3 linked regions of the Arabidopsis thaliana genome follow. The main gene of each other region encodes a partner of the protein of the gene in region 2 in a complex. Each region holds a gene or a part of one and is shown on either strand. Other genes may lie near its edges.

Region 1 (5,147 bases), on a different chromosome or scaffold from region 2:
AGAAAGAGGTACGCTGTCCACCAATGCTTGATCAGCACTTTGTGTCGTAGATTGAAAGACTTTGTTTTTCTGTTTCTCCAGGTGGAGTTCTATAACACAATGGTCGAGAGAGAAGATGTAGATGGTGAAAAAGCTGCAATGAAGGCATACAAAGCAGCTAGAGTAGATATTGACCAAGCTGATGAAGTTGCTGAAGCAGACGAGGTTTCCTCTGCACTAATGGAGAAGGTAAGAAGATTTTAAATCGGTTTTTAAGACTATTAAAGTCCCATGAGATTTGTTTAAGAGGCTTACTCTTCGGTCATACTTTTTAAGGTTGATGGTCTGATACAAAACCTAGAGAAGGAAATTGATGATGTGGATATCAAAATTGGCAAAGGCTGGCAGCTTCTTGACAGGTATATAGACTCCATTTTTCTGTTTGAGTGTTCTGTTTCCGAGACTTAGAATCTAAAGTGATCACATCTGAATGAACACAGAGATCGAGATGGAAAAGTCACACCTGATGAAGTTGCGGCTGCTGCAATGTACCTGAAAGACACACTCGCTAACGACGGCCTTCAACAACTAATCAGTAGTCTCTCCAAAGATAAAGGTAAAGAACAGAGCGATCCTCTCCTTCTTGAGCTCTTATCTCCCTGAAGTTGATCTTTTTTATAAATCTGTTATTCAACAGAGGGAAGAATTATGGTGGAAGACATTGTAAGGTTGGGGAGATTGGGAAGCAAGCCAGAAGAAAATGCAACGGAAGAAGAATCAAGCTGAAGGAAATAATACTATGATTTTAAGACACACATAGACTTTTTAATACTAGTGAAGAGAGTTTTATTGAGAGAAGCTCTACTTCATGTTTTGCTGCTTAGACATAAGCAGGCTACTTACATATACAAGCGGCTAAGAATACGAGACCTTTTGCTAGTAATGTGAAAAGAGGTTGAAGATTAAAAATAACATTACGCCAAGAATGATATCTTGAGCGTTTTATTTCAATGGAAACTCCTGATTCAAATGTGTCGATGGCTATGAATATGATAATCTGATGATTGACTGGTTATACTAGTTTGACATGTGTGTTTCCAGTGATCCCTAAATGACATAATTCGATTACTAAACTTTAATGATCTTCCTCGTTTCGATCTGTTGGTCACCCAAACTCAATTTTGTTTGCTTGTATGATTGTATCAAGCCATAAATTAATAATTTTTCTTCTTTATCTGGGGTCACATGGAAGAGTATCATATTACTAAGAAAAAAGTGATGTCTGTATCCCAAAAATCTACTGAAGAACATAGGATGACAATCTTGGTACATGTCTACTACTCTTTTAATATGAGGTAGAAGAAGACAACAAAAATGGCAGCCATAACATGACCACTGTTGTTGTTGTTGATGATCATGATGGGCCTAGGCTCCGTCTGCTACAGTCATGTTTACTGTACTGATGTAAAGAACTGCATCCAAAGAAACCACACTTAAAAAGAAAGATATACAAAGAAGAAGATTGAGAGAAGGATGAGTGTGAGAGATTTTAGTTACCGTTGTTTCCACGGATAAAGGCGTCACCATATTTGTTCTTGAGCTGCCCGTTTACATACTCCTCCGTCTGCTCCATTGCTATGTTCATATATCCATCAAGACAAGTAAGAGTGCCTGTGAAAAGAGTAATAAAAACTTGATCAAGAACTCAACATTAAGCTTGAACAGAACATAGACAAAACTGACTCGGGCACGAAAGGAAAGAAGTCAACAAGAATGATATAAGTAGCCTTGATAATGAGAGAAACTGACTTAAATATTCAAATATCTCAGTCAACTATTGTAACCTTATTGCAGGCAGAAAGGAACATGTTCTTAAGAAAACCATTGAACAATGTTCACAAGGAAACCTTAGAAAATGTAAGAAAAGCTTCACATATTGACTTTAAAAGAATCATTTAAAAGCTGAAGACATAACATGATAATTAAGTTACTTAAGTGGGCTTAATACAAGCAACTCTTTAATTCCCTTAACATAGACAAAAGAACTAGTCCTAAGTCAAAGCTTCTAACCTAAAGTGCAGCAGAGATAGAGAACTTGCAAAACACATAAGAACATCTAACGAGAGAGAGAGGCACCTCGATAATCAACACCAGAATTGAGCTTGACAACAACGGGTCTCCCACGGATGGATTTGAGGAAATCTGCAGGTGTCTTTGTCGTTCCAGAAACTTTCTCTTCAACTCCACTCATCTTTTAAGCTCGATCCTTTACGTAACTGCAGAAACAATTGAGATCTGAAATCAGTTTGGTCGCTCTTCGAACTACAAAAACTCAAAAGGTAAAAACCATTCAGAGTCAATCTCTCGAATCACAAAAAGACTCCGAAACCTAAAAACCTAAACCTTCAACCCAATAGAAGCGAATTCGATTGAAAATGTAAAGAGAAATCGAAACTTTAACAAGGATTAAAGGAACTGAAAGAAGAACTCCTTACCTGAGACCTACTCGAGTACGAGACACAGAGAGAAAGAGAGAGCGAAGAAATAACGAATCGGTCCTAAGGGCTTTTATTATTTATTTCCAAAACTATATACTATATGATTATTGTTATTTCGATTCGATCGAGTTTTCATATTAAAACTAATAATAATTGAACATTAGTCCTTATAGATTTTATTATTTTACTTTGGAGGGTGAAATTAAATCTCCAGTGCGTTTCGGTTCGACCTCACAGTTTCTTCTGTTCTCGTCTCTCTCTCGTTTGCTTTCTCTACAGATCCCTAAATCCTCTCCCTTTGGACCGTTAATCCCCCAAACCCTAGATTTTACAAACAATTCCTCTCAATCTCTCTAAATTCTCTTTCTCCTGCAAGGAATTTGCGGACTGTTTCTTGTGGGGTAAATCTTCTATTAGCTATGGGGAAGAATCAAGCTTACAAGGCTATGCAGAGATCTAGGGTTGGTTCCAGCTCCGCCCAGCCGGATGAGGTTGAAGACGGAATGGTTTGTACCTTTTCATACTCTCATCTTCTTCATTGCAAATTGATTCTGTTTTTTTTTACTTCTCCAAACAAAATTCCAATTTGGTTGATTTACTTATGGTTTTGTTGATCTTTTGTGTTGTTGGGTTATCGAGCTGCATTTAGAATTAAGCCTACAAGAGATCCTTTATGAGTCCCAATTTTGGGGGAAGAACTTGTATCTAATACCTGCTAGGTCTTGTAGACGATATCAAGTCCATGTTTAAATGTGATTTCGTAAAAGTGTAGCATCAGAGTTTGTGTTACAGTGATTCAAGAGTCTTTTTATTGTTGTTGTAAGCTGTGAACACAAAGAAGCATTTGGATTAGTCAAACTTTGATATTTTGCATTGGTACCGGAACATTTCTGATGAGGATTGTCTCAGGTGGATGGTTCATTTCATACACCAGAGTGGCATGCGGCTCGTTTGGCTAGCCTCAAGACTACACATACTATTACCTGGGAAGAGTATAAGCAGAAGCAAAAGGTAATCTTTTTGCCTTTTTAATACTTAAGTTCTTCTGTATGTTGTATGGAACGGTGTTCCTTGTTATAATGCCATAGAAGATAATCAATTGACCATTGATGATTTAGTGTTCATAAGATTGCTATTATTGTCGTCAATTTAGAAGCTTTATTCCAACATATCATTTTCTTTTCCTCTGCTGTTTATCATCTTCAGCCACAGATACGCAGTCTTTGTGTGTTTATATAAAAATGAGTGTGTCTTCCTTCTACATTACATCTATCCCTATCTCGCGGTTTTCAAGTAACTCTAGTCATGCTCATTTTTTAAACATTTTTATTATCTGCAATATCAGTTTTTTACTACTACTTGCAGCAGTCTCTCTGTATTGTGAGTATGGAACATTAGGAAATGTTTAACATTATATCTTTCTTTCGTGTAACATGTGTAGGAAGAAGAATTGAAAAAGGGAGAACTTGAAGCAGATACCGATAAACTGATGCGTGAGTATAGAGCTCAGCTGGATGCAGAAAGGTCGTTGAAACTCTCCAAAGGAAGGAACTATTCTAGTGATAAGTCACGAAAAGGTAAACATAATCCACTTAACTTAACATGACATCTAAACCTTCTTTCTGAGGACGTTATTAACTGGTCGCCAATGGTTCAATGACCTCGCAGATAAGAAAGACAGAGATTCAAAGAAGAAGAAAAGCAAAAAGAGAAAGGTGCCTTCTAAAAGTTTAGCTTATATCAGATAGTGTGAGGTTTTCTAGCTTATGCTAACATGAACCATGATCGGTTGTGTTATGAATTTGCAGCATTATTCGTCCTCAGAGTCGTCATCTAGCAGTGATGAAGATGAATCTAGAAGATCAAGATCAAGTTCGAAAAGATCAAAGAAGGAGAAGAAGCACAAGTCCAGCAGAGACAAACACTCTAGCAAAAGTAAACACGAAACCGATGGCCCTGTACCACTCTCTAGATTCTTTGGCAATTTGAAGAATTGACAAAAGCAAAACTGCAAATGAACTATTACAAAGAGTAAGATTGTCTTCAATCAAAATACTCAAAGTAGGATATGATTGCTTTCTTCCTTGTTGCAATGTTATATTTTTGACAATAGCTCATGTATTAATATTTGTTGGATTGAAAGTCGCAATGATGCCCACAGAATCATGGTTTTTCAGTTTATTTGCTTAAAAATGAAATTTGACAACATCAAAAGGGAATCTAGCAGAAAATCTTAGCACAACAAAATTTCTGAGAGATGAAAAAATTAAAGGAAATGAAAAGGGAAATTATTCAAAGAAAAGCAGAGAAGGAAAAGAAAAAAACAGAACAAGGATCAAAGATATGGTCCTTTTCAATCATTGCTGGTTTCAGGGTTGAAAGCTAGGGCTTCACAGTAGATTAACTCTCTAAACTGCTCCTCAGAGAATGGATGTTCATCTAAATCGAAATTGAAGGGCTCTGAGCACTCTGGTTCATCGGTAATGTCGTGAAACGAGCTAAGGTATGGATGAGCAAGTGCTTCTTTAACTGCAAAGTGGCAAAACTGATGATAAGAATCCAAATAAAACTGCAGAAGAGGCTATATGGAGACAGAAACTGACCTGAGATTCTCTGTTTAGGATCAAATGTTAGCATCTTCTCCACCAAGTCTATTGCTAAGGGAGGCAC
Region 2 (5,304 bases):
AAATCTAACCATGGTCAAGGTTTAATGTACTCAGCTGATTCAGAATTATGCTTGAATGCTTTTGCGGATGCGGACTGCGGAACCTGCAAAGATACACGTAGATCAGTTACTGGTTATTGTGTTTATCTTGGTCACTCTTTCATGGAAACTAAAGAAACAATCAGTAGCTATTCAGAGTAGTACAAAGCCTGAATATAGAAGTCTTGCTCATGCCACTTGTGAGATTATTTGGCTACAACAGCTGCTTTAAGACTTACACATCAAAGTTACTTGTCCGGCAAAACTCTTCTGCGACAACAAATCAGCTATCCACATTGCTATGAACCCGGTATTTCATGAGAGGACTAAACACATAGAGATAGATTGCCATACAGTTCGTGACCAAATCAAGGCTGGTCATCTCACTACTCTACATGTTCCGACTGAGAATCAACATGCTGATATTTTGACAAAACCATTACATCCCGGTCCATTCCATCATTTACTTCAGAAGATGTCAATTTCAAATCTTTATCTTCATAAACCAGACACTTAGAACGTAAAGGTTTGAGAGGGGCGTATTATGATATATGGTGCGACAGGTTAACATCAGTTATCTGATGGTTGGTTTAGTATGGTTATTAGTGATGTATATATAAGCTTAAGTACACTTTATTTAGATTAAGATTTTGTAAAAACATTTACATGATAATAAAGATTCTGTTAGATATGAGTTTTAGCTCTCCTCTGTTCCCTTCTCTAGCTTGATCTCTCCGGTGTATCAGACTTCAATAGTTTATAATTTACTTTTCGATAACGATTATGATTTGTCCAAAAAATAAAAGTGAAACCAAAATTTAATTAAACAAGAGGGAGATTATAAAATAGTCCTCACTACGGCTGGACACGAAAAAATATCCTGAAAATTAGTGATATTTGTTATTCGATTCGTTTTAACAGAATAATTGATTTTATGATTTGCTTTCATCCAAAATATTCGGATACCCGAATTTTTTTTGTGATGATTATGGATATCCACTTTGATATATCTATTTTTTTTATATATAAATTATTTGATATAGTTTTAAAATAAGTTCCAAAACACACATTGTTGATATCACTGATCAAGAAAATGCTATTAAATTAATTCTAAAAACCAAAATCCGATAGTTTAAGATGCCACTAACATGAAAGAAAAATGACCAAACTAATAACTTAACACAATATATCCAAAGGAGAAAAACTAAAGTTACAAATACTACAAACCCAAAATATACAATTATACAAACTATATTATGATATCTACATATATATACATGACTATATATTCTAACTAGATAAGGATCCGTCCGATGGACGAATTTATTTTTTTATAACTAAAATTAAATTCAGTAAAAATAATAAATAATGACGTTGTAAGTAGAAATTATCTTTCAAAAGTAAAATATATTTATTTTTACTGTTTATTGTGTTTTTCACCACTAATATTATTGATTAAAAATTATTTGAATGAAAAATATATCACATTGACTAAAACCCTTTATATATAAAGATGATCTATCAACGTTGACTAAAAACTTTTGAAATCATGACATATGATAAAACTTTTGATTGATAACTTATTCATGATAATATTAGTTACTAATTTTGAGAAAAAAATCTATTATATTATTTATAAAATGTGATATCCGTCAATGCTGAAGATAAATGGTTTTAGTAGAAAAGCATTTTCAGGCCGATTTGACCCGACTGAGTTCAAACGGATGTATGTGGAGCTTTTACAAAATAAAGTTGACTCATTTTTAGTTATCTATTTTGTATTTACTTTATCAGCGTTGGATTAAGTAAGACAATGACAATCTTTGGAAGTTACATCGTCTCGTTGGAATACGCACAAATGAAGTCTCACTCAGGCTACGATGACCAATCCAAGCAATAGAGGAGAGATTAAGAGTCTTAGAGTCAAACTGGTCTGCAAAGAACTTTATAAAGTGATGAGGATCAAATGTAGAAGATTTGAAGATGACATAGAAGAAATTTTCGAATTCACATGTAATTATAAGTCTTTTGGTTTTGATTCATGAATAAAGTGATTCTTTCTTCGTTAATGATTGAGATTTCGGTTTAGATTTTTTTTTTAGTCTAAATTAAGGTCAACAACACGTTTGAATCTTTATTCATCTTTTTTTTACGGCTCTAATATCTCTTAATTTTACTCGATTTGGTGTTATTTAAATTTCGATTCGGCCGTTGAATACCTGAAATTTTGCTAGGTCAAGTTATTCAAATCTTTTTAACAGAGATATTTACTATTTGCGAGTTTATAAATGTGTGTGCATTTTTCGTAAAAGAATCAAAAATTTCTTTTTTGGAGTTTTGTGTCGATAGATGGTTAAGAGATTTTACCAAATGATTTACTTTACGACTTACAAGTACTTCACAAGTTCATAGTTAAATTTTAAAAGCGTTGCTCAGAATTAGAGGTGGATCAAACTTATGTTTCGTTTTAATTTTATTTTTGGTTAAATTTGTTAGTAATTGTTTTTAATAGGTTGTGCCGTTGTGGTAAATTTGCTTTGTGTTTACCAGTTATCTTGTTTTTTAAACATCTATTTTATTAGATTAAAAGTAAGGAGTATAATGACAATGCTAAATTTAGTTGTCTTTATTGTAATTTCTATTCAGATGATGTTTATTCTTCTTAGCTAACTGAACAATTGTATTACGATTTTATTAATTCCTAACTAATATCCCCTTCCAATTTTATTTCGGGTTTAGTTAACAATTTAATGTTTAGTTATCGGTTTATGGTTCAATTTACGGTTCAGTTCAAATAATATGGTAACCATGGTTAGGGATTTAAACCAGAGTCCTTTACGAGATCAGAGTTAAAAAACAAAAAGCGTCACTAGGAAGCTGCGACTATTTGACTGACTCTGATTTCACGCGACTCCTTGTGAGATTCTCCGATTGCTTCGCCTGAGTTTCTGGGTTAACTCTCCACGCCGTCACTTTGATCTTTGCTTTTCCGGTGAGGTTTCTTCATCCACTTGTTGATTTCCGAATTCACACATTTTCCGAATCCACTTGGGGCCAAAGAATTGCAAACCCTAATTTTTAATCATCAACTCTATTCTGAACCAATTTGATTTCCGTTTTTTGCAGATCTTTAGGGTTTTTGTTTAGGGAATTGTCGAAGACTCTGCTCTAACATGGTAAAGTTTAACCTAAATTGAAGTAGCAAAGTATCATTGTTATATGAGTCGAGTTAATTCTTAAGCGAGTGTTTGTTATTCACAGTCTGGAAGAAAAGAAACGGTTTTAGATTTGGCCAAGTTTGTAGATAAGGGTGTGCAAGTTAAGCTCACTGGTGGTAGACAAGGTAATAAAACAAGTGTTTCTCTCATTATGCTCCAAAGATGATGATTCTTTCTAATGTTTTCTCTGAGATTTGTTTGATAGTTGCTATGTTTTTTGCTTGCAGTGACTGGAACTCTTAAAGGCTATGACCAATTGCTTAATCTTGTTCTTGATGAAGCAGTCGAGTTCGTTCGAGGTATCTTTTATCTTACCTATATCTACTGCATTGATCTTGTTAGGCTACAATTCTCTAGTGGAATCCGCCTCTTAGTAAACGAATCTCTGTATTGCTATGAAGTTTATTACTCTGGTTCATACAGATGTCTCCATGATGCCATTGGAAGATATATGGAAATTTTGATTAGAAGAGACTGTTTGATTGCTTAATCATGTTATGTTGGTGATATGAATGGGATGATTTCATTCTCTTAGCTAGATTTTGAAACTAGAAGTGGGATCATATTTCCATAGATCTAACTCAGTTTTATGACCCTTGTGTTATGTTTTGATCAGATCATGATGATCCTTTGAAGACTACGGATCAGACAAGACGCCTTGGTTTGATTGTATGATTCATTTACCTTCTTTTTTCATTACTATAAGTGTAATCCTGTTTAGTGCAAATAATATCATTGTTTCTTCTAGCATCGTGTTATTTGTAATGGAGTTCCATAGTTTAGATGCTAAATCATGATGGTTTGTCTTGTTTTTAGGTTTGCCGTGGAACAGCGGTGATGCTTGTCTCACCAACCGATGGCACCGAAGAAATCGCTAACCCGTTCGTTACTGCAGAGGCTGTCTAAAGACTTTCTTCTCAAAGAATATGTCTCTCTATTAGTTTAACTTGGCGATTTAGAGAGTATTTCATCTAACTCTCTGGTGTGATGTTGGAAACATATATGTTCAATTTAAACAATTTGGAACATCATGGACACTTACCTAACTTCGTTCTCAAATCTCGTTGTGCCAAAGCACAAAATCTCCTTAACCAGAACTGAAGTAAACCGGAAAAATCGAATGTCTGAGTCTTCTCGTTACTGAACCATGGATTTATAAGCGAGTGATTTGAAATTTTTGAAGTTGTTTCCATAGTTTTAGTGGAGACGATGAAGTCAGTAATGTCAAAGATCAAACTTTTTAGACCAGTCGTCACGTTACGTTGTTCTTACAGCTCCACAGATCAAACTCTTCTTCTTAGCGAATTTACCAGACTCTGTTACCAGAGAGACCTTCCCAGAGCTATGAAAGCAATGGATTCATTGCAAAGTCATGGTCTTTGGGCAGACTCTGCAACTTATTCTGAGCTTATCAAGTGTTGTATATCTAATAGAGCTGTTCATGAAGGGAATCTCATTTGTCGTCATTTATACTTCAATGGTCATCGACCAATGATGTTTCTGGTTAATGTTCTGATCAATATGTATGTAAAATTCAATCTTTTGAATGATGCTCACCAACTGTTCGATCAAATGCCTCAAAGGAATGTTATTTCTTGGACTACGATGATTTCTGCTTATTCTAAGTGTAAGATTCATCAAAAGGCTTTGGAGCTTTTGGTTTTGATGTTGAGAGATAATGTGAGGCCTAATGTGTATACTTACTCTTCTGTTTTGAGATCTTGCAATGGTATGTCTGATGTTAGAATGCTTCATTGTGGGATTATTAAGGAGGGGTTGGAGTCTGATGTTTTTGTTAGGAGTGCTTTGATTGATGTGTTTGCTAAACTGGGTGAGCCGGAGGATGCTCTTTCGGTTTTCGATGAAATGGTTACAGGTGATGCGATTGTTTGGAACTCGATCATTGGTGGGTTTGCTCAGAATAGTAGAAGCGATGTAGCTTTGGAGCTTTTTAAGAGGATGAAGAGAGCTGGTTTCATTGCGGAGCAGGCTACGTTGACTAGCGTATTGAGGGCTTGTACTGGTTTGGCTCTGTTGGAGCTTGGGATGCAAGCTCATGTTCATATCG
Region 3 (5,650 bases), on a different chromosome or scaffold from region 2:
TGAATTCGTACGTTCCTCTTCGTTTCACCATTTTCATCTCCTTCTCCATCGCAGCAGCTTCATCCTTCAAACTCCACTCCGCTTCTCATTCTCCGTCGTCATTTCCGAAAGCCACCGGCGACGATCTACTCTCCGTTCTCGGACCTCCCTCCGCCGCGTCGTGCCTCAACCCAATCGTCTCTCGAGAGATCAAATCGTGTCTTAAATTCCTCGTCCCATTCAAATCGGATAAACCTAAACCCGAATTTGGACGATGCTCGCCTCGTACTGGACTCTGTTCCGGAAAAATTGACGCCGTTGAGAGACGGAGCAAGTTTGAAGAGGAGAATTCTCTAATCTGGTGGCCACCGGAATCGGTTCTAGAGCTTGCTCGTCTCGCTGTTGACTCCGGTGGTGATCCCGGTTCAATTCAGCGAACTCTCAATCCGAAAATGATCCCGGTTCGTCTTCAATTTAATGGTTTGATTTGGTTTATTGTTCGTTAGATTGAATTGGTTAAAATTTGGTTTTATAGGTTCCTGATGTTGAACGATCAAGAAAAGATAAATGTCAACTTACTAGAACTCCTTATGGTCGTCATTTTATAGCAGAGGTAAAAAAAGAAGCTATTTTGTGAACTGTTTGATCTTATGGTGTAGTGATCTGATTGATGATGTTAATGAACAGGAAGTGAACTCATATTTCGAGTTCTTGTTTCATCTAATTGAATCTAGGGGACCTAGTGTTGGATTGAATGTTTCATTGAGTAGATATGATTTGTTCCATGGCCATTTATTCCTTGCCTCAGAATCTGGACGCCTTGGAATATTGTAAGTCTCCTTTGTCTCCTCAACACACACTAGGACTCTTGAAATAGTAATGATGATCATGTTCTGTTACTGACTTCGTTGTGTAAGAATCGAGACGCTTTGATAGGCACTAGAATAGTAGATATAAGGGGGTCTAGACCATTTGGTTAATTGGGAGCATTTAGGCTTTGAGAGTGAAGAGAACTCTCTAGGGTTTGTTCTTGTGTTCTTGAATGTAACCAACAGTTATCAATAAAGGAAGAATGGTTTCTGATTCTTAACACAATTGTTGCAGTGTTTTTAGAAAGGTTGAACGTAAGTAATGAGTTTTGGGGAATATTTATAGAAAGTTACATGGTTGAGCTAGGTTTTGAGTACTGTTGTTGACTAGTATCTGATTGGTGATGGTAGGTTTCATGCTAAAGAGTATCCAGCCTATGACAAGAAAGTGTTTCCTTACAACATGGGATATTGCCAGAGAGGTAATATGGGTTCTTGTCCGTGTGACTGTGAGTTTTCTTGCAATCTCTTGAAACATAGAAATGGTCACAGAAATCCCTTAAATCTTCAGTATTATGATTGTATCTCCTTTTTGTTAGGATCTGACGTGAAATACAATGATTCAATGAACTTGAGGAATATCCTTTGGCTTGCACCATTACCTAGCAACTCTTCTCCAGATTGGGTTGCTCCAGGTATAATATCTGTTTTCATCTCTGAGAGTAATAGAAAAGATCTAAACACTTCATAGTTTCAAGATGATCTTGTCTTTCATTAGTATCGTGGAAAACAATTGTAGTGTTACGTTTGACATCTTCCTTTCCTTTGATTGATCTGTAGGTGTACTTGTGGTTCTTGATGCGCATCCGGATGGAATCATATACCGAGATCTCATCCCTGACTATGTTAAGTTTGTAAGAACAATATACGAAGGTTTGAACAACTCTATACCTTCTCTCATCTCACTCATCAATTTGCTTCATTGTAGATCACATTTGATTACACATACATACACTCAAAGTCTCTTAAAGATTTATGCTCTATTGAAACTTTATGTCTTATCCTTCTCCACCAGATGATTTGGGAACAACCGCAGTTGATGTCAATTACTTGAATGTCGGAGCTCACGAACCTGACTATCAGCTTTTCATGTGCTGAAACAAACCAGTTACAGATTCACAATTACACAGTTGTGTGTAATTGAAACTTTGATTAAGATTTAGTTACTGGAGCTGGTCGAGGTTCAATAACGTTCGAGTTGGTTGATAATTTAGAGAGGTCTGAAGTATTGTCGGTTACAAAATAGCTTTAACAATCACATTGCTGAGGCTTTAAGCTTAATTGTAAAAGTTTAGGATTAGATTTGACATATCACTTGGCTTTGTTTGATTCACACAGTTCGCCTTAGTGATGTAAATTAATTAATTTCGAGAGCATCAATAACATATTAATGATTAGTTATTTTCCACCAGGTAACCATTGCCAACGGCTACAAATACACTTTGGTGTAGACAAAGTATACGAAAAATTAAAACAAAAAGCTCCGATGCCGGGAATCGAACCCGGGTCTCCTGGGTGAAAGCCAGATATCCTAACCGCTGGACGACATCGGATTAGTTGGCTAGATTGATATGTTTAACAATATATACTAAAACAGATAATATTATAAAGTTAAGGGACTCGAGTGCAAAACTCAAAAAAGTTCCCATTGACCTAAAACTAAAAGACCACCGATTCATTAGAAATCCATCCCTCTCACTGTCAAAACCCGAGAAGCAGAAAAAAGCAAAAAACAGATTTCGAAGTTTCGACGCCTCTCTATTCTTCGATCTCTTTCATATTTGAATCGTTCACCTTCTTGCCGATCTTCGGAGTATATTACAAGGTTTCTCCCTTTTCTCTCAGATTTTTTTTAGTAGCTGAATTAGGGTTTTTGTTCCGTTTTCGCTATTGCTTCTTCCGCATCTTATAAAGGGTTTAATGTTATACTTCTCTGATGTCATCAGGTTCTTAACGGATCTCTAAATCTTCTGATTTAAGAAGATGGTAAGTTACTAGACAAACTTAGGGTTTTTTTCCTTCTTTCTTGTTTGCGTTAAAGTTTCAATTTTTATTAACTGAAAGCTGTTGTTTTGATTTTATAGCTTCCTCTATCGCTGCTTAAAACTGCTCAAGGGCATCCTATGGTGAGTAAAATTTCGACCCTTGATTACAATTTTGTTATATATGAAGTGAAGCTGAGTTTAAGTGAGCATTGCATTAGGGATCTAAAGGAACTTCCTTTTACTGTAATTTTGAATCTTGTTTTGTTTTGGTAGCTCGTGGAGCTTAAGAATGGAGAGACATACAATGGGCATTTGGTGAATTGTGATACTTGGATGAACATCCATCTGCGTGAAGTCATATGTACATCAAAGGTTATCTTATGTTTTCATATGTTGATACAAATATACTTTGTTTAGACTTCGTGATGAAATTTTGTGTAGCTGACACTCATATATTTTGCTGCTTGATTACTCTAGGACGGAGATAGATTTTGGAGGATGCCGGAATGTTATATCCGTGGTAACACAATCAAGTACCTTCGAGTTCCGGATGAGGTAATTTTTTTTTGTGTGTGTGTGTATATATCTCTTGCTTGATCTAGTTTTTTCTTTGTTCCCCTCTCTCTGGAATGATGATGCTTAGCCAAATCAGATATGTGCTCCAAGAGGCATTTTTCTGTGGAACCTTGTTCAGCAGATGGTGTGCCTCTTGTTGTAGTGCGTCTTAGACGATATCACAGGGAATGGTTATTGCTGACCAGAATGTTGACCCACTTTTATGGACTTTGCTGTGTTGTGTTTCTGATGCGATTTTTCTCTATTGTTTCTACTTTATTTCATTCCCTCTAAAATCAAATTATATTCACATACCATAAACGATATCTTCATCTAGAAGGACAGTCATATGCTGTTTCTATTTATGTTCTTACTGCTGCAACCTAGATTGAGTTAACTGACTTAAATTGATTTCTTCTCTCTTCAGGTGATTGATAAAGTACAGGAGGAGAAGACACGCACAGGTATAGTATTACTCATGTCTATATTGTACCTTTACTGAGATATGCTTCGAGTTTTCTGAGGTGTTAATATTTTGCCAGAGTAGACATTGAGAATACTTCAGGTGTTAATAACGATGGTTGAATATGTGCAGATAGAAAACCACCAGGTGTTGGACGTGGAAGAGGACGTGGTGTGGATGATGGAGGAGCCAGAGGCAGAGGCAGAGGAACTTCAATGGGGAAGATGGGTGGCAACAGAGGTAAAAAATACACAAACAAAGCTTGTCACAAAACTCTGATTTTACTAGAATACTTCAAATATCTGTGTCTTGCCACAATGGGATTTAAGCTAAAACTCTAATATGTTATGAAAAACAGGAGCAGGTCGCGGCCGTGGTTGATGCAACAAGTTTTAAAGACTCGCTGCCAAATCTGCTAACTTCCCATTGTGGAGAAAACCAAAAGTTACATAAGAAGTTGGTCTGTTGTTGGTTTTCTATTAAGTATGTAAGGGATAGGGAGTGTGTTTTTCGATTCTCCTTGTGATCTTTTCGAAAAATGAAATTTGTCTTTTGCCTTTTTGTGGTATATGTGAAATTCCAATTGTTTTCATTTGCGCTTAAAAATGAATCTTTCAGGTCTTGAATTTATATAATTGTTAGAGAATTTATACAATTAACCAACGACAGGGTTTTTATAAGATCTTTGGTCCATCTTACCCTTTTATTATTTTTCTTTTTTTCCTATCTATTCTTTTTTTCCTCTTTCACCGGATTTTCTCCATCACTCGTCGGCATGACATATAAGATTAGATATGATTTAAAAAACGCATGTATTTCAAAGACAAAACATGCTCTTAAGTCTTTACATTGACTTGTAAATTTTTGTCAAGCTATCTAACAAAATCTCATATTTTTTTTTTGGAACAGATTCATATTTTTGTCAAGATTTCATGTTATATAAACAAATTACATGTCTTTTATCCAATATATCATTAGTATTTCATAAAATAACTATGTTTTAATGTAATAATTATACATATCTGTCAATATTTCACGTTATGTAAGGAGTCATATGTATTTCTTCAAATATCATGAAAATTACATATTTTTCTTCACTGTATTTTTACAATTGAATTTTCCTCTTCTCAAATCTATCGGAAGTCTTATTGTAATATTAGAAATTGATAAAGATATTTTCGTCAATATACACCGTCTAACGTGTGAATCCATAGTTCTTTTCTAACAAAAACTAAACTTATGATTAATATCTTTATTTAATCTCAGAATTTGGCTATCTAGTAATAACAACCTAATTATTATCTGAGTAAATCCCTAGAAAAAACTAGTAGTAATGGAATTTGCATGAGAATATGAGTATTTTGGTCATTTATTTTATTTTTCTCAATGTAAACTTAAATATTTATGGGTAAACAAAAAATAAAATCATAGAAGATGATATAATTAAAGATTTGCGAACGAAAATCTCATAATCAAATCTCTCTCTTCTGACACACGAAATAATGACGATAATAACCCTATCCCGACACAATCTCTGACATAAAATCAAAGCATTTAATGCTCAAAATCTCTATAAAAAAATTCATGCATCAGAATAGTTAGCAGATAACGTATTATCAGGATAACATGATAACAAATATCTCGGTAATATTTATTAGGTTAACATGATAACAAATATTTATATCAATAAGTTTATAATTATGTCATGGTAAGTCATTTTGTATCGCGATAAGTTATAATTGATGTGATATATATAGATATTTACCATCTTAACTCATTTATTATATCATAATAAAAAA

What was found. The genes of interacting proteins can lie anywhere in the genome.
Region 1: EMB2816 (region 2) and LSM6A share a complex: the UniProt entries of both Arabidopsis thaliana proteins name them as parts of the heptameric LSM1-LSM7 complex.
Region 3: EMB2816 (region 2) and emb1644 share a complex: the UniProt entries of both Arabidopsis thaliana proteins name them as parts of the heptameric LSM1-LSM7 complex.

The regions. Positions count from the first base shown.
Region 1 is NC_003074.8:22,093,924-22,099,070, reverse strand, and holds LSM6A (Small nuclear ribonucleoprotein family protein), read right to left. Parts: upstream 2,603-5,147; 5' UTR 2,475-2,602; exon of another isoform or gene 2,256-2,474; 5' UTR 2,231-2,255; coding exon 2,116-2,230; intron 1,651-2,115; coding exon 1,537-1,650; intron 1,452-1,536; coding exon 1,405-1,451; 3' UTR 1,105-1,404; downstream 1-1,104. Other genes in the region: LETM1 (LETM1-like protein), read left to right, coding at 1-8, 82-228, 316-398, 480-595, 679-782; AT3G59800 (stress response protein), read left to right, coding at 2,897-2,983, 3,387-3,488, 3,919-4,054, 4,146-4,192, 4,286-4,474; MPK10 (MAP kinase 10), read right to left, coding at 4,831-5,006, 5,081-5,147. UniProt on the Arabidopsis thaliana protein: Component of LSM protein complexes, which are involved in RNA processing. Component of the cytoplasmic LSM1-LSM7 complex which is involved in mRNA degradation by promoting decapping and leading to accurate 5'-3' mRNA decay.
Region 2 is NC_003071.7:1,177,115-1,182,418, forward strand, and holds EMB2816 (Small nuclear ribonucleoprotein family protein), read left to right. Parts: upstream 1-2,856; 5' UTR 2,857-3,010; intron 3,011-3,102; exon of another isoform or gene 3,103-3,144; 5' UTR 3,145-3,191; coding exon 3,192-3,194; intron 3,195-3,279; coding exon 3,280-3,361; intron 3,362-3,463; coding exon 3,464-3,535; intron 3,536-3,852; coding exon 3,853-3,905; intron 3,906-4,052; coding exon 4,053-4,142; 3' UTR 4,143-4,398; downstream 4,399-5,304. Other genes in the region: REME1 (Pentatricopeptide repeat (PPR) superfamily protein), read left to right, coding at 4,446-5,304. UniProt on the Arabidopsis thaliana protein: Component of LSM protein complexes, which are involved in RNA processing. Component of the cytoplasmic LSM1-LSM7 complex which is involved in mRNA degradation by promoting decapping and leading to accurate 5'-3' mRNA decay.
Region 3 is NC_003076.8:9,813,073-9,818,722, forward strand, and holds emb1644 (Small nuclear ribonucleoprotein family protein), read left to right. Parts: upstream 1-2,427; 5' UTR 2,428-2,673; intron 2,674-2,794; 5' UTR 2,795-2,831; coding exon 2,832-2,834; intron 2,835-2,932; coding exon 2,933-2,974; intron 2,975-3,106; coding exon 3,107-3,205; intron 3,206-3,310; coding exon 3,311-3,388; intron 3,389-3,457; exon of another isoform or gene 3,458-3,595; intron 3,596-3,815; coding exon 3,816-3,852; intron 3,853-3,983; coding exon 3,984-4,091; intron 4,092-4,209; coding exon 4,210-4,232; 3' UTR 4,233-4,546; downstream 4,547-5,650. Other genes in the region: AT5G27710 (T-box protein), read left to right, coding at 1-440, 515-592, 667-809, 1,200-1,270, 1,388-1,483, 1,629-1,721, 1,864-1,946. UniProt on the Arabidopsis thaliana protein: Component of LSM protein complexes, which are involved in RNA processing. Component of the cytoplasmic LSM1-LSM7 complex which is involved in mRNA degradation by promoting decapping and leading to accurate 5'-3' mRNA decay.